7 linked regions of the Macaca mulatta genome follow. The protein of the gene in region 5 interacts with the protein of the main gene of each other region in a biochemical or structural test. Links are inferred from orthologs where the notes say so. Each region holds a gene or a part of one and is shown on either strand. Other genes may lie near its edges.

Region 1 (3,500 bases), on a different chromosome or scaffold from region 5:
TCCCTTTCCCAAGGTAGAGCCTGGCCAAGCCCCAACACTCACCGCCTGCCCGCTTATCTTCTGGGCTATTACGCAGGTGGCTCTGGCTGGCTTCCGTGGGGGGCTCATCACTGGAAGGGCTGGTGACCCCGGGAATGGCAGGCAGATCCTTCGGGGGTGTTTTGGTCACAGGTGAGTTCCGACACTCCATCAGGAATTTCCGGTCATAAATGATCCTGGTACCTAGAAGGGCACAGGGAGGTTGGTCAAGCCACCTGCAACCTCTTGCCTGCTGGTTTTTCCAATTTTTAAAGGTGTGGCTGCAGTAGAGGCAGCAGATTCTCCTGAAAAACCCAGAGGAGGCCGGGTGCGGTGGCTCATGCCTGTAATCCCGGCACTTTGGGAGACCAACGTGGGCGGATCACCTGAGGTCAGGAGTTTGAGAACAGCCTGGTCTACATGGTGAAACCCCGTCTCTACTAAAAATACAAAAATTGGCCAACGTGGTGGCGGAAGCCTGTAACGCCAGCTACTCAGGAGGCTGGGGCAGGAGAATCACTTGAACCTGGGAGGCAGAGGTTGCAGTGAGCTGATTGCACCACTGTACAGCAGCCTGGGTAACAGAACGAGACTCCTTTTCATAAAAAAAAAAAAAAAAAGCCAGATCAATGAGGCTTATTTGGGGGTCTGGCTGCCACTCAGAACTCCGTTACCTCCAAATGGCCCTGACTCCCCTTCACATGGAATGATCTAATGGAAGGGGTCTGCAGGCCACCGACTGCACCTGTGTCTTCCCAGGGCTCTGTGCACACTGTGCTCTGTCCCTAAAGCCCCTCAGCTCACTCACCTACCAGGGCTCAGTGTTAACTACCCATGACAATCACATACCATGGTGGAAAAAATGCATTTCTATTCATTATTCAGTCCTGTCCTTACAGCACTCCTGTGGGATAACCAGAATAGCCGCATTTTACAAATGACCAAACAGAAAATTAAGTGATTCAACCAGAGTAGTAAAAATAGTAACTTTTGCCGGGTGTGGTAGCTCATATCTGTAATCCCAGCACTTTGGGAGGCCAAGGTGGGAGGACCGCTTGAGCCCAGGAGCTTGAGACCAGCCTGGACAACTTAGACAGACCTCATCTCTACAAAAAAGTTAAAATGAGCTGGGCATGATGGTACGTGCCTGTAGTCCCAGCTACTCGGGAAGCTGAGGCGGGAGGATTGCTTGAGCCCAGGAGGTCCAGGCTGCAGTGAGACCCTATGTCAAAAAAAAAAAAAAAAAAGAGAAATGCCTGGGCTTTGCAGAGAAGAGCCAGAGGCAGGAGTGAAGGGTGGGCTCTCCTTGCCCCCAAAGGCTCTCTTGCTGAGCCTCTCTCCTTTGTGAGGTCCCCAGTGTGTCCTGCCAGTGTGTCACTGACTTTGGAATTCTCCTACCCCACCCGCCCAAGTAGCTGGGATTATAGGCGTGTGCCACCACGCCCAGCTAATTTTTTGTATCTTTAGTAGAGACGGGGTTTCACCATGTTGGCCAGGTTGGTCTCAAATTCTTGACCTCATGATCTGCCCACCTTGGCCTCCCAAAGTGCTAGGATTACAGGCGTGAGCCACCGTGCCCAGCCCCTTTGTATCTTTTTATAGCTACCTTCTATTTATGGCAAGTGAATCTGGTGTTCCACATATAGTAGTGATAGCAATTCCTTTTAATGTACAAATAATATAATACTATATTGTAGATTCTATAATAAAATAATGTAAGCTAAATTCAAAAGCTAAGGTGATATAAAGAAATGTTAAACATCTGTACAAGTGGAATGCAAGGTATAGTAATAATTGTGCAGATAAAATATGAATAACCCAAGTTTGGGAATCATGATTTAAGGACTTCAGGAATGCCCTTCCTTAGCAATAACCTTGAAATCTCTCCCTCACTTAGGGGCTATGATGAGTGGCATTCCAACAGCTGAGATTCATTTCTTACGCTTTATTTTACTTTTTTCATTTTTAATTTTTATGGATCCATAATAGTTGTACATATTGAAATTCATTTCTTGATCCTCAGCACTGGACTCTCTGTAAACTCCTGAAAGGCACGAATTTCCATCTTGGAGACTAAGTGCGAGTTCACGAAACGGGGCTCTGTGCTGAGGCGGACCTGAGATGCTGAAGGGCAGAGGAATGTAGAGAGATACCTAAAGAGAAACTTCACCTGCTGGCCGTGTTCCTCTAGTCTGGCTGCAGCCCCTCCAGGCAGTCACTTGTCTTACTCTCCTGTCCCCTTGCAGGAGAGGCAGCGATGCTGAAGCTGACAGCCCTGCTCATTGCCTGTGGGACTCCAGCACAGAGCTGTTTCTTAGGAGGAGGGGTGTAAAGGAAAGAACCAGGGTGCATTTGGGCTCCATTCCCAGTCAGCTGTGTGACCCTATGCGCGCTGCTCCTTGCACTCCCTGCTTTGGGCCTCCGTCTCCTCATCTGTAAAATAAAGACCCATACACCTTCTAGGTCTGAGTGGCTATGAGCCCAATAGATTACAAATGGAGGGCGGTGGTGCCCTCTTTTTGCAGGGCCAGGGCAACAGTGAGGGGAGGTAAGGGAAGACCAATTTCTTTTTTTTTTTTTTTTTTTTTTTTTTGAGACGGAGTCTCGCTCTGTCACCCAGGCTGGAGTGCAGTGGCCGGATCTCAGCTCACTGCAAGCTCCGCCTCCCGGGTTTATGCCATTCTCCTGCCTCAGCCTCCCGAGTAGCTGGGACTACAGGCGCCTGCCACCTCGCCCGGCTAAGTTTTTGTATTTTTAGTAGAGACGGTGTTTCACTGTGTTAGCCAGGATGGTCTCGATATCCTGACCTCGTGATCCGCCCGTCTCGGCCTCCCAAAGTGCTGGGATTACAGGCTTGAGCCACCGCGCCCGGCCTGGGAAGACCAATTTCTAACTCTCTTTTTTTAAAAGTGACCCAGATTTGTTTTGGTTCTAGAAGCCAGATGTGGCATTGCTCCACTCTGCAAGGCTTGAGGTTGTACAATCTCCCCTCCCCAGAGGGGAGGGAAGCCCAGAGACCACAGGGTCCAGGCAGCGGGGTGGGGACTCAGTGGACACATGGCTGGACATCCTGGCTCCAGATGGGACCACTTTTTTTCTGTTGTTTCTTAATCTTTGAGACTCGGCAAGAGTCCCCCCCTTTTTGTTTCTCCCCAACTTTGCTTTTTGTTTTGTTTGTTTTGAGATGGAGTCTTGCTCTGTCACCCAGGCTGGAATGCAGTGGCATGATCTTGGCTTACTGCAATCTCAGCCTCCTGGGTTCTAGCAATCCTCCCGCCTCAGTCTCCCCGGTGGCTGGGACAACAGGCATGTGCTATCACGCCCGGCTAATTTTTGTATTTTTTGGTAGAGATGGGGTTTCACCATGTTGGCCAAGCTGGTCTTGAACTCCTGACCTCAAGTGATCCACCGGCCTCAGCCTCCCGAAGTGCTGGGGTTTCAGGCATGAGCCACACTTTTTTTGTTCTTGTTGGTTTGTTTAC
Region 2 (3,500 bases), on a different chromosome or scaffold from region 5:
TCAAGGAAAGCACTCCACATTCACCCCCTAAGGCTACATACACATCCCTAGCATACTGCCATGTGCTCTGGTTTGAGAGGCACAGCAGAAGATGGCTGCATACTGGAATCAGTGAAGTAGCATGTTTACAGCCTTTGGTGCCAGATATGGGTTCAAATTTCAGTTCTACTAATCTCATAAAGTGTGTGACTTTTGGCAATATATTTGATTTATCTCTGATATTTACCTTCTCCTCCTCTAAAGTGTGGATAAGCTTCTACCTCACTGTAGGTAGAATTAATAAAATAATATATACTGGGGCTTAATAAATAGCACTCGGCAGAAAGGTCAAAGCCAGAATATATAGAATTAGGAGGTATCAGCATATAAAGTAATGCCTGAAATACATGGATATGGATGAAGGTTCAAAGGAAAAATTTGAAAAGTAGTCAGAAAACCAGGTGAAGCCAGCCAAGGAAGAGTTTAGAGTAATGAGAAGTCGAAAGTGTCATACTCCATAGAGTTAAAATTAAATGAAAGAAAATACTAGATTTGCCAAGTGGGAGGGAATTTGTACCTTTTTATAGACATATGAGGGGTATGCTAGTCACAGAAGCCAGATTCCAGTGAATGGAGGCTGAAAAAGTAGAAGCAGCAGTAATCTGGTAAGGAAAGGGGAAAAGAACTATAGCAGAATCAATAGGAAGTTTCCTTTTTCAAGAGTAGGGTAACTACATCTAAGCGAAGTAATGTTATGAAAGAGTCCATGGTAAGTCTCAGGCAAGCAAAGGCTGGTAGCAACTGTAGTTACGTGTGGCCTGTTCCTAACTTGTTGGTGGCAGTGGTCCTAAATCTGAAAGAAAAATAAATAGAAGAAAAAGGAAATTTGGTCTGCCAGTCAACGCAGTGAAACTTTTTTTTTTTTTTTTTTTTTTTTTTGAGATGGAGTCTTGCTCTGTCGCCCAGGCTGGAGTGCAGGCGCCCGATCTCGGCTCACTGCAAGCTCTGCCTCCTGGGTTCACGCCATTCTCCTGCCTCAGCCTCCAGAGTAGCTGGGACTACAGGCGCCTGCCACCACGCCCGGCTAATTTTTTTGTATTTAGTAGAGATGGGGTTTCACCATGTTAGCTAGGATGGTCTCGATCTCCTGATCTTGTGATCCGCCCGCTTCGGCCTCCCAAAGTGCTGGGATTACAGGCGTGAGCCACTGCACCCGGCCAACGGGGGGAAACATTTTGTTCCACAGAGCCAAACTACATAGACATAAACAGAAGTCCTTCTGTTGTGTTTTATAATCAAAAGGATTTATTTTCTGATTTTGCTCCTATGTTTGCTTAGAACTGTTTTCTTTAGTAAGCAGTGTTGTCTTAAATATTACTACTCAGCCTTTGCTTGAGACTTCTTAATCAGACTTGCTTCTAATTTTAAGTTAAGAGTTTCCTTATAACCGGCCGGGCACGGTGGCTCAAGCCTGTAATCCCAGCACTTTGGGAGGCCGAGACGGGCGGATAACGAGGTCAGCAGATCGAGACCATCCGGGCTAACACGGTGAAACCCCGTCTCTACTAAAAATACAAAAAATTAGCCGGGCGAGGTGGCGGGCGCCTGTAGTCCCAGCTACTCGGGAGGCTGAGGCAGTGGAATGGCGTAAACCCGGGAGGCGGAGCTTGCAGCGAGCTGAGATCCGGCCACTGTACTCCAGCCTGGGTGACAGAGCGAGACTCCGTCTCAAAACAACAACAACAACAAAAAAGAGTTTCCTTATAAACATTTTTAAAAACTGAAAAGATTTTAATTTTTATTTACAGATTTTAATTTATATTTTAAAATATATTTAAATTATGAATGCAGCCTTTATGCTTCTGTTTAGTAAAACCTAAATACTCAAAATCACAGACGGATGGAACACAAATAAAAGTCACTTGAGGGCTGGGCACCATGGCTTATGCCTGTAATCCCAGCACTTTGGAAGGCTGAGAAGGGTGGATTCATGAGGTCAAGAGTTCAAGAGCAGCCTGGCCAAAATAGTGAAATCATGTCTCTACTAATACAAAAATTAGCCAGGCGTGGTGGTGGGCGCCTGTAATCCTAGCTATTCGGGAGGCTGAGGTAGGAGAACTGCTCGAACCCAGGAGGCAGAGGTTGTAGTGAGCTGAGATTGTGCCACTGTACTCCAGCCTGGGCGACAGAGCAAGATTGTCTCAGGAGGAAAAAAAAAAAAAAACAGTCACTTGGCTTGTTGTAACTCTTTTTCTAATATCAGAGAAAAATCTCTGCCAGACAGATTTTTCTCTGAGTTCAGATATAATTTACTAACATTGTGACAGCTAAGAATATTTTAGGAACAAAAAAGCTGATCTGAGCTGTAAGTGAAATTGCACACACACAGACACACACACACACCCATTTCAACAGAGCACTACAGTTACAAAGTGCTTTCAAAGGAATTATCTTACTTGACTCTTAAAACAATACTTGGGTGTGTGCTGGAATCCCATTTTGCAAACCTGAGGTATAGAAAGTTAATACTGTCTCCCAAAATGGAGGGACAGGGCTAGGACTTGGAAGCCCTGCTTCTTTCACTTTATCAGTGTTTGAAGTATCCTGGGATGAACAGTGAAATACTTTCATCAATTTCAAACTTTTTAAAACTTTACATACCCTATTTTCATTTTCTTCTGTTTGTCTCGGTCACTTCTATATGAAAGTTCTAAACTAATATTTAGTAACTTGTTTTTATTGTTTTTGATGGCAAAATCATTTATAGCAATGAAGTTACTTTCTGAGAACTGCTTTACCAACATTTCGTAGATTTTGAAGGTAGTAGTTTTTGAAGACTGTATTTTAAGATTTTTTTCCATAATGTGGTATTCTTAGAATATATTTTTGAAGAATCTTTAGGTGTTAAAATGTTATTATTTTGAGTAAAGATATTATTCATTAAAACATGAACTGGCCACCATACATTTACTTTGTATCAAGTAAATTTAATATAGATAAAATTTAACACACAGTTAATATACATATGTGAAACTCTTGATCTTCTTGAACAATACTATATATGAAAAGAAACCATTTTGAAATAACCTGGCAAGCTGGCTGGAGTGCAAACATAGGAAGGTTGTGCATTAAATCTCCTGTGGGGAAACTGCATGAAAGAAAACTACTCCATGATCAAAGATTGACCCATAATCCTATAGCTATCTTATAAATGCAGCTCATTAAATAAAGTTTACAAGATCCATTAATTCTGCTGGGAAAAAAAAAACCCAATGCAAAGATCCTATTACCAGTAGATGTAAAGATACACATCCAGTAGAAAGTGAAGACACACTTAACCCACAACAATCTAAGTAAATGCAGTATATGTACCTGTTCTTCATTAGACGAACCTCTCTCTTTCGTGCTGCTTCTTCAGCAGGCTGTGTAGGAAGTGCTGGGGAGGATGCCATAACAACTCCAGGGGCAATAGTGCTAGTGGGTGCTGTGCGAATCTGGTATGTCTGTACATCTCCAGAGGC
Region 3 (3,500 bases), about 17 Mb from region 5:
ATGCATAGTTACGAAATTTCACAACACTTATCTCTCCTATGAATCACGTAAACATTTTTGAAAACAAGACTAGGGCAAGAAGTGATTCATCTGTTTTTTTTTATTATTTTATTTTTTGAGACAAAGTCTTGCTCTGTCGCTCAGGCTGCCGTGCAGTGGTGTGATCTTGGCTCACTGCAGCCTTGACCTCTCAAGTTCAAGTGATCCTCTCACTTTAGCCTCCTCAGGAGCCAGGACTACAGAGGCACACCACCACGTCCAGCTACTTTTATTTATTTTTTTGTAGAAATGGGGTCTCACTATGTTTCCCAGGCTGGTCTCAAACTCCTGGGCTCAAGCAATCCTTCTGCCTCAGCCTCCCAAAGTGCTGTGATTACAGGCCTGAGCTACCAGGCCTGCTCTGATTCATCTATCTTTGAAGTGCCTCTAAAGTTTCTAAGTTGGGATTCTCTTTTTTTTTTTTTTTTTTTTTTTTGAGACAGAGTCTTGCTCTGTCACCCAGGCTGGAGTGCAGTAGCCAGGTTGGGATTCTTAGTTTGAAAACCATATTGAATTAATTCAAAGGAAACTTTTCATGGATTTATATTACCATTTTTCCTTGAAATCTGAACATTAAAAAAAACTGGGACTTGCTTTGTTTTTAGAATTGCCATGGGACCAACCCAGTGACAGCTGTCAGGAATATTCTGACTGGAAAGAAAAAAAAACATACCTCAACCCTTGGAAAAAAATCGATTCTGCTCCTCTAGGTAACGGATTATCTTGAGTGAAAGAGTACTGATTTCTTGAAGTCTTGTGCTATTTGAATTTTTTCTTATTTTTTTGTTTTAAACTTAGAAATAATTCATGAATCTTGTAGATAAATTGGTAACTATAAGTAAAAATTAAGGAAAAAATAACTCTTTCGTCCCAGAACTCTGCCATAGATTTTTAAAAATATTTTGGGGAGTGTATATTCAGAGCAACTTGAATCTGTGCTCTTAGGTGGCTTTTTACTTAAAAAAAAAAAAAAGTTTTCACATGTGCTATACTTTGTTACAAATAAACTCATTTGTTGCTTAATTATAGGGATGCACTCTAACAGTTGTTTCCTTAGGTGAGTTCATCATTGTGTGAACATCATAGAGTATACTTACATAAATCTAGATAGTACAGCTTACTATAAATCTAGCTATATGGTATAGCCTATTGGTCCCAGGCTGCAAACCTCTATAGCATGTTACTCTATTGAGTACTGTAAGGAATTGTAACATAATGGTATTTGTGTATCTAAATATAGGAAAAGTATAGTAAAAATACAGTGTTATAATCTAATGGGACTGTCTGTTATACATGTGGTCCATTCTTGACTGAAACATCATTCATGTGGCCCATGAGTATGTAAAATGAATATATGTATATTATTTATATGTGTTTTTATACAAAATGAGATCACACTAATATTTTGTAACTGCTTTTGGTTTTCATGTGCAGTGAACATTCTTCCATGACTATAATTGTAGGTCTACATCGTTGTTTTAAAGGCTGTGATGATATTCTGCCATGTGGATATGCCTTATGATACTCTTTTAATCACTTTGTTGGAGATTTTTCTAAATTTTCACAGATACAAAAGAGATATAAGTATCTGTGTAACTTAATCATGACGCATACCCTTAAATTGTTCATTGAAATCCCCAGAAGCAAAATTGCAGCATCAAAGATGTAGTTTTTATTATTATGGCTTATTTTGTCAAATTGCTTCCTGAAAGTTCGAACCATTTCATCACAGTCTCATCAATTTACATTAAAAAAAAAAAAAAAAAAAAAACTAACAGGCCTTTAAATGATAGTCTTTTATTTTTATTTTAAATTTAATACTAATGAAGTTGTATACACTTTATTTATATGTTAGTTTTTTGTCTATTTTGCTCATTTTTGTCAAGCATATTTTTCTTACCAGTTTGAAGTTTTTTGTTTTTTTTTTGTAACATATTGACCTTTGCACTTGTTACAAATACTTTTCACAGTTTATCATTTATTTTCATTTTGTTTTGCTATATTGACATTCAAATCTATTATCTTGTCCTTTGTGGTCCCTGACTATAATGTCTTTGGAAAGGTCTTCTACCTCTACTATTTAAAAGTTCCCTATTTTTTCATTTAATGGTTTTATGGCTTCATTTTTACATTTAAATCTTTGGTCCATTAGGAAATAATTTTGATGTAGGGAGATATATGAATTTTTTCTCAAGAAAATCAAGATACCTTAGGATGGTTAGATTACTGTCTCTTTAAAAGTTATTGGTAAGTAAATGTTCATTATAAAACTGAATAAGGGGGTCACGTGAGAACATGACATTGAAGTAATGAAATTCAGTATTGAAAATGGATATAAGGGGGTTTCTGTATCTTTTTGTTAATCTTGTCACATGAGGAGAAACATTTCCACCTGGCTCTTGTTCTCAGTTGCAAACATTTGAGAATCAGATCAAGGGAAGACTATTCCAAGATATAGACAGCAGCAGAGAAAAACCGCATGAAATTAAAGCAATAATTTAGTAGCTTTAATTCTTTCTCTTCCCCAGAAATAATATTTAGACATGAGTAGGCCAACAGAAAATGTGTTTCTTACCGCAAGCCATAGGCTTCTCGAATCTCCATGACGCTTTCATGAATGTTGTCTTAATGTTTGTTTTTAGCTCTGCTGCATAAAATCCTAGTTGAGAATCCATCAGCAAGAATTACCATTCCAGACATCAAAAAAGATAGATGGTACAACAAACCCCTCAAGAAAGGTAATATCCTTAAACTACATGTTTGTTTTTCTGTGGAAGAAAAGGTAATTGCAAAGTCATTATCACAAATCAACAACACATGATGGCTATGATCTCTGTCCTCATGGAGATTATAATGTCTACTAGGAAAAAAATATAAAAATAATTTTATTAATAATTATAAAAGGGAAAGTCAGGGTACTATAGCTAAGTGTTTGACCAAGTCTAAGGGACAGGGAAGACTTCTTCCTGAAGAAATTACATTAAATCTAAGATTTGAAGATTAAAGGGAAGCTAGCCAGGCAAAGTAAGTGGCAGATTTGATTCTGAACAGGGGAAGCAGTATTTGAAAACTCTTAGGTTTTTGAAAGTCTGATGCATTTGAGAAACTTGAAAGATCAGTATGGCACGAGCCATGTCTGCTGTGTTCATCATTGCATCGTCAGTGCTTAGCACAGTATATGGTGCACCATAGGCACTCATTAAATATTTGTTGAGTGAATGAGTGAACAGGGAAGTGGGAGAGGAAGAGAGGTGTGAGATGAGGACAGAGAGGTCACTAGTGGCCCGTTTGTGGAAGAAGACCTCGTAAGCCATGTTAAGGATTTGGGGCTTTAACTTAAGACCACTGGGGAGACCTTTGGGAGATTTTAAGCAAGAATATGACATAGTCATATCTTTGGTTTAAAAATATCTCTCTGACGACCTTCCCCCCCGCCTCCATTGTTTTTTATGAATAGGGAA
Region 4 (3,500 bases), on a different chromosome or scaffold from region 5:
CTCTCTAGAACTGGTTGATGAAAGTGTGAGTATTTGTCACGTGGGGAAGTAAGTAGTAGACTCACTGAGAAACAAAAAGCTCAGCTCTGCGGGCCTATGAGGTGAAAAATAATAGTAGGCCAGAGACAAGCATGATTGTTATTGTGCTTTTCCCTCTGTCTTTTGATGCTGTCTGGAGTAGAGGGTTAAGGTCATAAATAAAATCTTTGATCTCAAGTACAGTGTTTGTAGCAGTAGAAAGTAGTTTTCTAAATGTGTAAGTAGCCCCATGGGCAGGAGGGACTGGAGACCATCTGATTTGCTGGCAGGTGCAGTCAGAGCACTGGGAGGTGATGCCTGCTTGTGAGCACAGTGCAGCTTTGGGCCACCGCAGAAGGCACACAGTTGTGCCCTTGGTACAGAAATGGTTTTGTGGGAAATGGGCTCTGACTGTGCACATTCTTTATTTGCTTTATTTAAACTAAACCAAACCATGACAATGAGACAAAATTCCTATCCCATGGAAGCATGACAGTCTTGATAGCTGTTCATCTATTAGTTTTATTAATAATTCCTGCAATTGCCGGGCATGGTGGCTCACGCCTGTAATTCCAGCACTTTGGGAGGCCAAGATGGGCAGATCACTTGAGGTCAGGAGTTTGAGACCAGCCTGGCTAACATAGTGAAACCCCGTTTATACTAAAAATACAAAAATTAGCCAGGTGTGGTGGCAGGTGCCTGTAGTCCTAGCTACTTGGGAGGCTGAGGCAGGAGAATCGCTTGAACCCAGGAGGCAGAGGTTGCAGCCAGCCAAGATTGCACCACTGCACTCTAGCCTGGGCGATAGAGCAAGACTCCATCTAAATAATAATAATAATAATAATAGTAATAATAATAATTCCTAAAATGTACTTCAGCCTTCTTTTCAAACTGCTGCAGATTTCCTGTTGGTTCAAACTCCCAAAGGGGGAGAAAAAAAAGTAGATGTCTTTTTTTTTTTTTTTTTTTTTTCTGGAAGTTAACACCCAGAATGTTTGACTGTGTGATGGCAGAATCAATATTAGAACCTAATTTTTTTTTTTTTTTTTTTTTTTTTTTTTTTTTTTTACAAAGTATTGCTCCAATGTGTGGTGGGTTGGCTAAAATTTCTTGTCCACCTGTAGCATTCTGGCTGACAGAAAAGCAAAAGTGAAAATCAGATCACAAGCAACTTGAAAACATGACTTATTCTGACATTTTTGGCAATGGCCCCGAATGTGAAGTGGTTTGTCACCGAGAGGGCAGCTGAAGGGAGCTGGTGAATCACCCCCGTGCAGCACCTTCCTCGTGGGCTCCGGGCGTGTCCCTCAGTATTCAGCTGTTTTTGGTTTTTATTGTCAGAATAAATTAAACTCGTCGTTGCCCTTTTGTGCTGTTGTGTTTCTCAGTTGAGGCTAATGCAGCATGATTATGGGATCAGCTAGTTGAAATTCTCATTCTTCAGCGGGGCCAGTGACTTGAATGTGTGACTGTAAAATGCGGGTTCCTGGGATGTCCGTAGTCCTCTCTGGGCCCCGTTTGTGTGTGTGCCCCTGCTCTCAGATGTCACTTGGTGCTGGGGTGGCCTGTGTTCGATCCCAGTGTCACTTGGTGCTGGGGTGGCCTGTGTTCGATCCCAGTGTCACTTGGTGCTGGGGTGGCCTGTGCTCAGTCCCAGTGTCACTTGGTGCTGGGGTGGCCTGTGTTCGATCCCAGTGTCACTTGGTGCTGGGGTGGCCTGTTTTCAGTCCCAGTGTCACTTGGTGCTGGGGTGGCCTGTGTTCGATCCCAGTGTCACTTGGTGCTGGGGTGGCCTGTTTTCAGTCCCAGTGTCACTTGGTGCTGGGGTGGCCTGTGCTCAGTCCCAGTGTCACTTGGTGCTGGGGTGGCCTGTGTTCGATCCCAGTGTCACTTGGTGCTGGGGTGGCCTGTGTTCAGTCCCAGTGTCACTTGGTGCTGGGGTGGCCTGTGTTCAATCCCAGTGTCACTTGGTGCGGGGGTGGCCTGTGCTCAGTCCCAGTGTCACTTTGGTGCTGGGGTGGCCTGTGCTCAGTCCCAGTGTCACTTGATGCTGGGGTGGCCTGTGTTCGATCCCAGTGTCACTTGGTGCTGGGGTGGCCTGTGCTCAGTCCCAGTGTCTCTTGGTGCTGGGGTGGCCTGTGCTCAGTCCCGCAGCCCTAACCTGCCCACTTGCTTCTGCAGGGTGAAATCAGAGCTACAGCTTTCAACGAGCAAGTGGACAAGTTCTTTCCCCTTATTGAAGTGAACAAGGTATGGCTGTGCTGACTTGAGAACTGACACGCCCCGGGGTGGAGGCGGATGAGAAGACTCTGGCCCAGGGGAGGGGTGTGTGGTGACAGACCAGGGGTTTCTGTCCAATATGATGGCAGTCTCAAATTCTGTGACGTGGCCTCCTGCGCAGGTGTATTATTTCTCGAAAGGCACTCTGAAGATTGCTAACAAACAGTTCACAGCTGTTAAAAATGACTACGAGATGACCTTCAATAACGAGACTTCCGTCATGCCCTGTGAAGACGACCGTCATTTACCTACGGTTCAGTTTGATTTCACGGGGATCGATGACCTCGAGAGCAAGTCGAAAGACTCACTCGTAGGTAAGCTCATGCATGGGACGGAGGAGCAGGGAGGACTCGCTTTCTTTGCACCGTACGGGGCGGTGTCAGGACTTCAGTGCTTGCCCTTCACCCTTTGCTGGCGTCAGAGTGGGAGCCTTGAACGCCTCCTGCTCACACGCGCCTGTGTTTTAGACATCATCGGGATCTGCAAGAGCTACGAAGATGCCACTAAAATCACAGTGAGGTCTAACAACAGAGAGGTTGCCAAGAGGAATATCTACCTGATGGACACATCTGGGAAGGTGGTGACTGCCACGCTGTGGGGGGAAGATGTAAGTGCTAGGATGGGGCGGTCAGCACACACAGGAGGAGCTCCTGGGGTGGAGGCGGTCTTGTCCTGTAGGATGGGGTCTTCAGCACACACAGGAGAAGCTCCTCGTGGGGGCGATTTTGTCCTATGAGTTGGGAGCTTTCACCGTGTAGATGGGAAGGGTTGTGCTGTCTGGCAAATACTTGAAATCCTTTATCCTCCGTGAGATTTGCTGTGATTCAAGCTTTACGTGGGGAAACGCTCTTTCCCCCGACTCGAGGAAAGCGGTGATAGTTTCGATGTGTCTCTGAGCAGATTCTCGTGTGTGAGGTCTGTCTTGTATAAGATTCCGTGTACACTGATTACATTCACTCTACTATTGACTGTTTGCCTTGTTTCCTATAAAAACCGTCTCTGTTCTTCCTGCCAGTGACACTTGTCTATGTCTGGTGTTTCTTTTACAGGCTGATAAATTTGATGGTTCTAGACAGCCCGTGTTGGCCATCAAAGGAGCCAGAGTCTCTGATTTCGGTGGACGGAGCCTCTCCGTGCTGTCTTCAAGCACTATCATTGCGAATCCTGACATCCCGGAGGCCTATAAGCTCCGTGGTTGGTAA
Region 5 (3,500 bases):
CCTGGCCTCAAGCGATCCTCCCACCTTGGCCTCCCAAAGCATTAGGAATATAGGCATGAGCCACTTCACCCAGCCAAATGGCATCTTTTATATGTTTCTAGTGAAATAACAGAAGTACAAATAGTTACCTTATAAGTACAGATAGTTAATTTCCTCTTCCTAGTTTCAGTGTTTCTCTGCAGTAATGTATTACACATCTGGAAGACCTGTTGCATGACAGCATCTTGTCTCAGGTCATCACGGCCCTTCAGAATAATTAAACATGAATAAACAAGTACAGTTTATTTTATTATAAAAACACAGAGCCATCTGAGAATAGCAAAGGGCACTCAGAAACAAATCTGAGCATCTGTGCACCTCTTGACAGTCTCCCAAATAATTAAAGATCTACTGCCATTCTTTCATTTAGAATAAGCTACAACATTTACCCTCGCTACTTCTGTAATTAGATTAACTGGAAGTCCCCCATAGGAAGGCATACTGCAAACACCTGAGTAAAACAGCACTGTGTCTTTCCACCACTCCCCAGTAGGACCCAAAGAGCTCATGAGCAAATGGCAAAGGAAGAATGCTCTCCCTTTTTGGTACATTAAATAGCCCTTGGAACAGTACCAGACCCAGTATACTGACACAAAGGACGTCAACTTGTACTATTCAAGGAGATAAGAGACAGACACCAAAGTATTTTTTTCACAAGAAGCAAGCTCACTGTACATGTCTGTACATCTTAATGGTAATCTTTTACTTGAATCAACCATATAATAATGATGGTCTTTCAGAGACACACACACACACAAAAAAAAAATGGAGAAAAGCCTTGTTCTAGAAAGTAATGCATTTCTACTCTACAAATCTTCCTCATTTGCAATTATTCAAAATAAAGACAAAAACCCAAATAAATCAGAAAGAAGTAATCAACTAAAATTTTTCATCATTAAAACTCTAAGGGCTAAGCCAGAGAAGGGATGGCTCACCTTAACAAGCTGTCTCCTCTCCTTGCCATCAGAACCTACACAATCTATTATTTTTGGTAAATTTACACCTCCTGCTAAGCGAAATTCTGCTTTAAATGACTGTATAGTCACGAGATTTCCGTATTCTCCTGTGTGGTCCACCTAATAAAAGCATAAACATGATTGATAATAGGTCAGATACACTATTTGCACTTAAAGAAAAATACATTATAAATGGCAATTTTAATATTAAACAGAGGAACAAATGACAATGTGATATTGGTTAAGAACTGCAACTATAGGATGGGTATGGTGGCTCTCGCCTGTAACTTTAACTACTGTTTAATCAGAGATTCACTAATATACCTAAAGTCATCTGAGAAATAACTCATCACAAAAACATAAAGTAAATTTTGGAAAAGAGTAGGAGTTTTCTGGGTTGTAACTGCTAAATCTGGCATTTTAAGGAAATATTCAGCTAAATCACTTAGCTGATATAGCTAGAAAAATAGCAGTCAATCCACATGATACAGCTACATTTCAAATCAAGTAACTAGATACTAAGCACTAAACTGCAAAATGAAAAGACAATGTATTTAAGATGATCATTTTCTAAACTTATAACACTTATTATTACATATATCCCTGCCCACATGAAATTACTTCCATTATTTCTTGCAATGAAAGAACATCAGAACACAGCTAAGTGTATTATGCATATGAAGTCAACTTAATATTATAATAATAGGTACTATATTACTTAATACTGTGATATATCACAGCCAATACATTTTATTGCACATAGAATTTTTAAGAACAATATATGACAATTGGAACCTTCCTTGCCAAGTCAAAAATTAATCTTGGCATAAGCACACAGAAACTCTCCTTCTGGCCAATGAAAGTAACAGTCTATAGACCTTCATAAGAAAGATGGGAGGTGCAGAACTGAAGGCAACGGAAAAGAAAGCAAGAGAAGCTTTTGAGTATTTTAGGGCTTGGGCAAAGGAAATTATAATACTGAGAAATTATAGGTTGAAACACATGAAATTTGCCAATATTTAACCAATTCTGACTTACATAAAAATACTATTTCAAATGGTTCAATCTAATAAAAAAAAATTTAGTTTAAAAAAAAATCAAGAGTTAATTATAAATTACCTTAATTTCCATAGTAGGGACAACAACATCTTCTAAATTCTTAAGTTTAGTAATTGGCTGGTCTGCTGGAATATTTATGCCTTCTGTATTGAAAAATGGAGAGATTTTAGTAATAAACTGAGGAACAGCACTGAAGGTCAAGCAGGAATAGTCAGCAGATACCACTGGCCCCAACTTGTTGCTAATCTGTGGTTCAGGCTGTGATTGAGAAATGAAGACTCTAGGCTTTGGCCACTGTGCGGCTCAGGGTCAAAGCTCAACAGTGGCTAATGTAGCTTTAAGTAAATTTGCAGGTTACCTGACAGGAGTAACTAGACCAGATTCCACCTGAGGAACCAGACTAAGCATCTTAAAATACTTACGTAATAGTTTGCATAGTACATAGATAACATACTCCTGTCACATCACTATTAAATGCAACTAAAAGACATGTCAATACTTTTTGTTTGCTTAGAGAAACAGTATGTGAAGCCCCATTCGTGTTTTAAAGTAATAAGAATTTAAACTTGAAGATATGATTCTGAATAGAAAAAAAAATGCAATTATTAAAGTATGGGGAGATACTTAGAAGCATACTTAGAGACTAGTCACAAAACCAAAGATTATAGCAGCTTATAATTATCTGAACTGACACAGTAAGAAGAATAATTAAATAATAGCATTTTAGCACCTATGGTAGAAATGGTAAAGGCTTTTTGTTTTTAAGTCCTAGGGCACAGTTTTAGTAACCACATCATTTAAAAAAACTTTTGACTCTAGAAATGTTCAGTTATTCAATTATTTGAATAGACTTGCCTCTATGCAATTCTCCGTAATAAGTATGCCAGAAGATTATCAGAAGAAATCAAATAATTAATTTAGTGTAGTCACCTATTATCAGTTCTACCAAGAGATATTAAGTGAAAAAGCAACCAGGGAATGTTGAAGCTATCAGATATAAATTAAGCTTTTGGATTACGTTTGTGATTTTAAGCAGATTTACTTATTAGGCTCTATAATTAATATATGTCTACAGAGAGTAACATAGCAAGAAAGTAATGTTCCTTCTTTGAAACACATACTTCTCTGAGTCTTCCACTGAGTGGCATCTAAGTTTGCTAATATAATATAAGCATCACAAAGTGCCTCAACACTTCTGACCATCTGAGGTCTCCTACTTCTGATAGTACATATTATTCTGTTTGCAGCCTCTGTTCGATCCTATTAATAAAAAACAAACAAAAAACATTACATAAGGAACTACCCAACATTTAAACTTCTCAGAGTTAGAAAAACAAAAACAGAATTTATGCACAAATCTAGACAATGGAATGATTATAATTCCTCAGATACAAACAAAACAGTCATAAATGAAATACATCAAAAATACATACCAATGCAATATCA
Region 6 (3,500 bases), on a different chromosome or scaffold from region 5:
ATAATGCAGCAGGTTATTGTACAATTTCTTTTTGACTTCTATTCCAAGCCACCTGATCCTTTGTCTTCTTTCTCTTTTCAAAATACACAGATGCTCCTCAACTTTCAATGGCGTTATGTCTAAATAAACCCATTCTAAGTTGAAAATATTGTTAAATTGAAAATACATTCAATATACCTAACATACCAAACATCATAGTTTAGCCTAGCCTCCTTTAAACATGCTCAGAACACTTATATCAGGCTGCAGTTGGGCTAAATTATCTAACACAAAGATTATTATTATTTTTCGTAGAGGTGGGGTCTCAAACACCTGCCCTCAAGCAATCCTTCTACCTTCGCCACCCAAAGTATTGTTTACAGTTGTGAGTCACTGCACCTGACCTATTTTATTTTTAAATTTTATTTATTTCATTAATTTATTTTTTTGAGACAGGGTTTCACTCCTGTCACCCAGGCTGGGGTGCAGTGGCGTGACCTCAGCTTACTGCAACCTCCACCTGCTGGGCTCAAGCAATTCTCCTGCTTCAGCCTCCTGATTAGCTGGAACTACAGGTGCCTGCCACCACGCCCGGCTAATTTTTTGTATTTTTAGTAGAGATGGAATTTCACTATGTTGGCCAGGCTGGTCTTGAACTCCTGACCTCATGATCTGCCCGTCTTGGCCTCCCAATGTGGTGGGATTACAGGTGTAAGGCCCCATGCCTGGCCCCCACTATACGTGAAATTTAAATGTAGTATTGATTGTATCAATACATTTTTGGTTTCAGTCTTAATTTAAAATAATTGGACAAATGTGAGCTTTTATGAGCCCCCCCAGCTCAATTTTATTGCTTTTTACTTATTCATAATCTTCAGATAATTTGTTTTTTCCTTGTAGTTTATGGCTGTCAGACAAAAAACTGATCCGGTGACAATGATCTGGTGAAAAGCTCAGCCCAGAACTGTAGGTCTGGGCTGTTAGGACTTTTAATTTTTGGAGAGCATGTTAGCCCTGGGTTCTTTTCTTTTCTTTTCTTTTCTTTTCTTTTCTTTTCTTTTCTTTCCCGTTGCTGTTGTAATAGGCCCATTGTTTACTTTTTAAAGTCTTGTGCCTCGAAACTCACCTTTGTTGTTGGACACTTTCTTTTTGAGGTCGTGATGTCTCGGGAGTCGGATGTTGAGGCTCAGCAGTCCCATGGCAGCAGTACCTGTTCACAGCCTCATGGCAGCGTTACCCAGTCCCAGGGTTCCTCCTCACAGTCCCAGGGCATATCCAGCTCCTCTACCAGCACAATGCCAAACTCCAGCCAGTCCTCTCACTCCAGCTCTGGGACACTGAGCTCCTTAGAGACAGTGTCCACTCAGGAACTCTATTCTATTCCTGAGGACCAAGAACCTGAGGACCAAGAACCTGAGGAGCCTGCCCCTGCCCCCTGGGCTCGATTATGGGCCCTTCAGGATGGATTTGCCAATCTTGGTAAGACCCTTTGTTATATAGTATCATGTTTTGTTCAGAAAAACAGTTACAGAAAGTTGTTGTGTTACCGGGTGGAAGGTTCTGATTGTGAGTTGTCCAGGTTTTTGGCACGTTGAACAAATAATTGAACATCATGCATGAACAAGCAATGAAAGCATAGATTTATTGAAGTGGAAGGCAATAGAAGCTAAAGTACATGTCGCAGGATAGGAGCAGGCCTGAGCAAGTGGCTGCAGAGCCCTGGTAGCAAAGTCTTCTGGGGTTCAAGTACCCTCTAGAGGTCTCCCATTGGTTACCTCCTATGTAGATGAAGGGCTGGCTCACAGCCCATTAGAGGCCACAGTGAACTGGACCTCGACCATTCCAAGACTGGTGGGGATTGGCGCCTTATGCAAATGAAGGTCCTAGAATGGACAAATCATAGGCCAGAGTGCAAATTCTTTTTTTTTTTTTTTTGAGAAATCTCGGCTAGGCTCACTGCAACCTCTGACTCCTGGGTTCAAACGATTCTCCTATCTCAGCTTCCTGAGTAGTTGGGATTACAAATGCATACCACGGCACTTGGCTAATTTTTGTATTTTTAGTAGAGATGGGGTTTCACCATGTTGGCCAGGCTGATCTTGAACTTCTGACCTCAAGTGATCTGCCTGCCTCGGCCTCCCAAAGTGCTGGGATTACAGGCATGAGCCACCATGCCTGGCTGCTCCAGGAAGTTTGTGTGAATCGGCCTTAGATTCCCTGCCTTCAGACCCTATTTTCCTGCCTTAGTTAGTTGCAGCAGAGTGCTTGAGCCACCTTAGAATGATTCTGGAGTTTGAAGGTGATAAAAGGTAAAACCAAAGAGGCAGTGTTGGGTGTTGCATTGGCTGTTACCAGCTGTGGATTCCGTTCATTTATTCTTTCAACAAATATTAATTGGATATTTACAATGTGCTGTCCATCCAAGGATCTGAAGGTAGCTTTGGACCCTCTTCCTAGAAAAATGCAGATTCATGCAAACTTGCAAACATTATCCCCTAATCACAAAAGCTTCACCAGTTAACCTCTGCTGTGGTTTGCCACAGCTTCAGAGAATCAGAGCTGTTCAGAATAGAGATGGCTATTTGTTGACTACTTGTTATTTGTTTTTGTCTCAAAATAGTCAACCTTGTGATTTAAATATGTTGACCCTTTCTGACACCTCCTGGTTCCAATAGTAAGTTTCGCTATGCGTATGTTTAAAATACACATGTGTGTATTTTAAAATTGCCAGGCGTGGTGGCTTATGCCTGTAATCCCACTACTTTGGGAGGCCAAGGCAGGAGGATCACTTGAGGCCAGGAGTTCAAAACCAGCTTGGGCAACATGGCAAAACCCTGTCTCTACTGAAAATACAAAAATTAGCCAGGTGTGGTGGTGCATGCCTGCAATCCCAGCTACTCAGGAGGATAAGACATGAGAATTGCTTGAACCTGGGAGGCAGAGGTTGCAATGAGCCAGGATTGTGCCACTGCACTCCAGTAAAAAAAAATAGTGTTTTTTTTTTTCTTTTCTCTTACATTACAATGACCTCTTTACTAAACACATTTGAACTTGGCATTAATAGGGTAGAATATATTAATATAAAGAAATGAAGGACTGGTATATCATTTTGTGTTTTGTCACTCACCATCCTTGTTTTATTTCATGTCTAACTTTGATGTCTTGAAAAAACTGTAAAAAATGGAGAAACAATACACCTGCATTCTACATATACAACTTTAAATTTATAAGTAGACACTCGAAGCTATTTTTTACCCATTTAAAATATATTTTTTCAGGCCAGGCATGGTGGCTCATGACTGTAATCCCAGCACGTTGAGAGACCAAGGTGGGCGGGATCACTTGGGGTCAGGAGTTCAAGACTAGCCTGGCCAACATGGGGAAACCCTGTCTCTATTAAAAATACAAAAATTAGGCCAGGCGTGTTGGCTCACGCCTACAATCCCAGCACTTTGGGAGGCCGAGACGGGCGAATCACCTGCGATGGGGAGTTTGAGACCAGCCTAACTAACATGGAGAAA
Region 7 (3,500 bases), on a different chromosome or scaffold from region 5:
GTCTTCCCTGGCTTACCCACACCCTCCCCACAGACTGGGTTAAGTGTACCTCCTCTGTGTATCCATCGCACCCATGCTCACCCGGTTACAACACTTAGCACATGTCTGTTTATGCGTCTGGCTTCTGCTAGACTGTGAGCTCCTCGAGGCCGGAGACCCTGTCTGATACATCTGTGTACCTAATCCCTCCGCAGGGTCTGGTACAGAGCAGCACTCAAGAAATTGATGCTGTACAATCAAGCAATATAAGCTGCAGGAGTCAGACTCAAGTACTGGCATTCAGGAGGGGAAGGTCAGGGTATGACACAGTGATCAAGGAGGGCTTCCTAAAGGAAGGGGAGGAGAATGAGAAAGGGTGAAGGGGTGAAAGGTGATGATCAACCTAGATTTACATGGAAAGGGATTATTAGCCAGCAACCTTGTGAGCAAAAGCCTGGAGGTGGGACTGAATACATGCAGAGGCCGGTGAGGGCATGCTGAGCGGATGAGGGTGGATGGGGAAGACAGGTCCAGAAAAACCAAAGCCAGATACGCTGCAGTAGATAGTGAAACAGGGATGCAATCCAGATTCCACCAAACTATCTTCACCTTTGCAGATCTCTGTGTATCCTTGGGCCCCAGAGCCTCTGGTGGCCTCAGTTCAGTCTTCGTCAACTGACCTAGGGGATCAGCCTTACCTGTGGATGGCAAAGAGCAGGGCCAGAGCTGCCACTGTCTTCTCCCCGCCTGATAAGTTGTCCATAGGCCGGAAGCGTTTCCCAGGAGCCACACAGTTGTAGTTGATGCCATCCAAGTAGGGCTCTTCAGGGTTCTCAGGGCCCAGGAATGCCTAGGGAAAGGCAGATGGGTCAGGATCTGTATCTGAGTCTGGATGGAGATAGGGACAGGAAGCCTAGAGGGAAAGATAACTGAGGATGGTAGCAGCTGGTTGGGTAAGGGGCTCCAGCCTACCTGGGCACTGCTATTGCGGGACAGGGCTTTATAGATCTCATCAATGTTGGTAGCCACAGATTCAAAACAAGCATTGAAGCGGTCAAAGCGCTCCTTCTTGATCTGTTCGAATGCCTGCTTGGCCTTCTTTGCTCGCTTTCGGGCTGCTTCAAACTCTGCCAGAAAGAAAGACAGGTGACCCCTCAGTGCCCTGGCAAGAAGGACCTGCAAATGACAATCCAGAGCAGGGACATCCCACCAAGAGAGAGAGGAATGCCTGAGGAGGGTCCCAGAAGGATCTGTATCCAGTGGACTGGCCACTGGATACAATGCAGAGGAAGAAACAGGGGCCTGCAGCCACACAAATATGGATTCCTCCCTGTGTTCTACCAGCAACCAGCTACGTGACCTTGAACAGGTCATTTACCCTCTGGGAACCTCAGCAATTTTCTGTTCTATAAAGCAGGTGTAATAACCCCTACTGTTTAGGGCTCCTGGGAGTTTTAAGTAAGAAAGCATGTCAGAACAGGAACTGCTGTGATGTACAGCAGGCCCGTGGCATACCTTTAGCCTCTTGTCCTTATCATAGGCCCAAGTAGAAGGGTAAATCTTACCATCTGAGGTCTCCTGGAACTTGTCTCGGACACTTTCCAGCTTTTCCATGGCCTTCATGTTGGGGGCGGCAATACGCTGAAGCACACTCTGCTGCTCATTCAGCTTCTGCTGCAGTGTGTTCATCTCTTGCTTGATCTCTTCCTCAGCCTGGGCATCCTGTAAGCCCCAGGCCCAGCAACATCAAGAAGGGCCTGGCCCCTGTGCCCAGGCCCCCACCGAGAGATGACCGAGTGTGGCCTGGGTGCCTGCTCCTATATGGAGGGCAGGTTCTTCTTCTCCAGCTTGGTTCCTTCCATCAGATCCTACCCATAGTAACCATTTCCACCATCTCTGGAAATTATAGGCTGAGGCTGCTTTCTAATCTCTAGCCCTTCCCCCAGGCCCTGCCGACCTCTTTGTCTCTCAGGAGGAGCAGTTGGTGGTGCCCCTCTCTGGCTCTCAGCCCAAGCCATGAGCCAGTACCACCCCAGGGTGACCTGGAGGCTCCCACGCTGGCTGCTCTGGACTCCACTTACAGCTCCACAATAAGTAAGGCAATTCACGTTTTCTGCTTAGATCACTACATTTGAGCAAATTCCATTTGAGTTTAGTTTTAGTTCTTATGGATATTGCAATGCATGTCTGGGCTTGTGCCTTTCTGCCACTTTCAGTCAATAAATATTTACTGATTGCCTACCAAGTGCCAGGCACTGGGGCCATCCTGTCCTGTGAGCCCTGGTTTCTGTGCTCACAGAGCTCAGGGGTCTAACAGAGGAATGCAGATAAGTAAACAACCAGAATACTGTAGGATGAATGTGAAAACAATGATAAGCAGGCAATGTTGAATCAGCTCACAAGAAAGACACCTAACTCAGAGATCAGGAGACTGATAGTTCTTGAGTGGTGAATGTTAGTACTATTATGTTTAGTGAGCCTAGGGTATTTTAGGTATAAATAAGTATAATAAGTAGAGGGAAGGATCCCACTAGTATATAGAATAAGAAATATGTGACCTGCATTGAGGCGTTCTGGTTGGTTACCTCATCGGGTGATAAAAATTAAGGTAGGCTTCCAGGAATATGTTTAAGCTAAGGACTACAGGATGAACAAGTGAAGACAGAGAAAAGGAATACACTTTTTTTTTTTTTGGAGACAGAGTCTCGCTCTATTACCCAGGCTGGAGTGCAATGGCATGATCTCTGGTCATTGCAAGCTCTACCTCCCAGGCTCAAGTGATCCTCCCAAGTAGCTGGGACTACGGACACACACCACCATGCCTGGCTAACTCCTCCCAAGTAGCTGGGACCACAGGTGCCCGCCACCACGCCTGGCTAATTTTTTTTTGTATTTTTAGTAGAGACAGGGTTTCACCATGTTAGCCAGGATGGTCTCAACCTCCTGACCTCGTGATCTGCCCGCCTCGGCCTCCCAAAGTGCTTGGGATTACCGGCACGGGCCACCGTGCCCGGCCCCAGGATAGGTTTTTAAGTCAAATATGAAAGCTACACAATAGTGTACGCTATCTCTTATTTAAGTGAAGGTAGAGGGAATACAAATATATTTGTATTTTAAACATATAACAACAACAAAAAGAATAATCCAAAAACTAATTAAAGGGTTATCTATCGAGAAAGAGAGGTGAAAGGGACAGGAATGGAAGCAAGAATTCTCTTCATGTACCTTGTTTTATACTTTTGGTTTTAGAAACACATAAAGATGTTATATATAACTATTAAAACAAATTTAATCAAAATGTGAAAACCACTGGGTAAAAAATTTTTGGGGAACAAGATATTCACAAAATGCCAAAGCATCACTCTAAAGATTACTAATTAATGACAAAGGCAAAAGTGTACATTTAGCGTTGAAAAACCTAGCAACTGACACTTTAACTGAGGGATCAAACTCAGTATCACTAATAGTGGGCACATCCTGACATGATGTACCTCCTGGAGGGATGCCACATAAAGTTCACT

The links.
Region 1: of the proteins of ATM (region 5) and EIF4EBP1, one has a biochemical effect on the other in vitro, tested with the Homo sapiens proteins (2 studies listed by BioGRID, with this or other methods). The link is inferred for Macaca mulatta from reciprocal best matches to the Homo sapiens genes ATM and EIF4EBP1.
Region 2: of the proteins of ATM (region 5) and CREB1, one has a biochemical effect on the other in vitro, tested with the Homo sapiens proteins (2 studies listed by BioGRID). The link is inferred for Macaca mulatta from reciprocal best matches to the Homo sapiens genes ATM and CREB1.
Region 3: of the proteins of ATM (region 5) and CHEK1, one has a biochemical effect on the other in vitro, tested with the Homo sapiens proteins (2 studies listed by BioGRID, with this or other methods). The link is inferred for Macaca mulatta from reciprocal best matches to the Homo sapiens genes ATM and CHEK1.
Region 4: the proteins of ATM (region 5) and RPA1 form a complex in vitro, tested with the Homo sapiens proteins (3 studies listed by BioGRID, with this or other methods). The link is inferred for Macaca mulatta from reciprocal best matches to the Homo sapiens genes ATM and RPA1.
Region 6: of the proteins of ATM (region 5) and CHEK2, one has a biochemical effect on the other in vitro, tested with the Homo sapiens proteins (6 studies listed by BioGRID, with this or other methods). The link is inferred for Macaca mulatta from reciprocal best matches to the Homo sapiens genes ATM and CHEK2.
Region 7: the proteins of ATM (region 5) and SMC1A form a complex in vitro, tested with the Homo sapiens proteins (2 studies listed by BioGRID and IntAct, with this or other methods). The link is inferred for Macaca mulatta from reciprocal best matches to the Homo sapiens genes ATM and SMC1A.

What each region holds. Positions count from the first base shown.
Region 1 is NC_133413.1:39,997,289-40,000,788, reverse strand, and holds part of EIF4EBP1 (eukaryotic translation initiation factor 4E-binding protein 1), read right to left. Parts: intron 223-3,500; coding exon 43-222; intron 1-42. UniProt on the Homo sapiens protein: Repressor of translation initiation that regulates EIF4E activity by preventing its assembly into the eIF4F complex: hypophosphorylated form competes with EIF4G1/EIF4G3 and strongly binds to EIF4E, leading to repress translation.
Region 2 is NC_133417.1:112,842,871-112,846,370, reverse strand, and holds part of CREB1 (cyclic AMP-responsive element-binding protein 1), read right to left. Parts: coding exon 3,352-3,500; intron 1-3,351.
Region 3 is NC_133419.1:126,025,968-126,029,467, forward strand, and holds part of CHEK1 (serine/threonine-protein kinase Chk1), read left to right. Parts: intron 1-644; coding exon 645-749; intron 750-2,681; coding exon 2,682-2,777; intron 2,778-3,500. UniProt on the Homo sapiens protein: Serine/threonine-protein kinase which is required for checkpoint-mediated cell cycle arrest and activation of DNA repair in response to the presence of DNA damage or unreplicated DNA.
Region 4 is NC_133421.1:3,420,284-3,423,783, forward strand, and holds part of RPA1 (replication protein A 70 kDa DNA-binding subunit), read left to right. Parts: coding exon 1-25; intron 26-2,199; coding exon 2,200-2,268; intron 2,269-2,419; coding exon 2,420-2,612; intron 2,613-2,765; coding exon 2,766-2,905; intron 2,906-3,347; coding exon 3,348-3,496; intron 3,497-3,500. UniProt on the Homo sapiens protein: As part of the heterotrimeric replication protein A complex (RPA/RP-A), binds and stabilizes single-stranded DNA intermediates that form during DNA replication or upon DNA stress.
Region 5 is NC_133419.1:109,179,055-109,182,554, reverse strand, and holds part of ATM (serine-protein kinase ATM), read right to left. Parts: intron 3,315-3,500; coding exon 3,176-3,314; intron 2,198-3,175; coding exon 2,115-2,197; intron 1,116-2,114; coding exon 975-1,115; intron 246-974; coding exon 129-245; intron 1-128.
Region 6 is NC_133415.1:22,818,256-22,821,755, forward strand, and holds part of CHEK2 (serine/threonine-protein kinase Chk2), read left to right. Parts: intron 1-1,133; 5' UTR 1,134-1,139; coding exon 1,140-1,458; intron 1,459-3,500. UniProt on the Homo sapiens protein: Serine/threonine-protein kinase which is required for checkpoint-mediated cell cycle arrest, activation of DNA repair and apoptosis in response to the presence of DNA double-strand breaks.
Region 7 is NC_133426.1:53,229,506-53,233,005, forward strand, and holds part of SMC1A (structural maintenance of chromosomes protein 1A), read right to left. Parts: intron 1,702-3,500; coding exon 1,545-1,701; exon of another isoform or gene 1,495-1,544; intron 1,142-1,494; exon of another isoform or gene 1,107-1,141; coding exon 952-1,106; intron 830-951; coding exon 678-829; intron 1-677. UniProt on the Homo sapiens protein: Involved in chromosome cohesion during cell cycle and in DNA repair. Central component of cohesin complex. The cohesin complex is required for the cohesion of sister chromatids after DNA replication.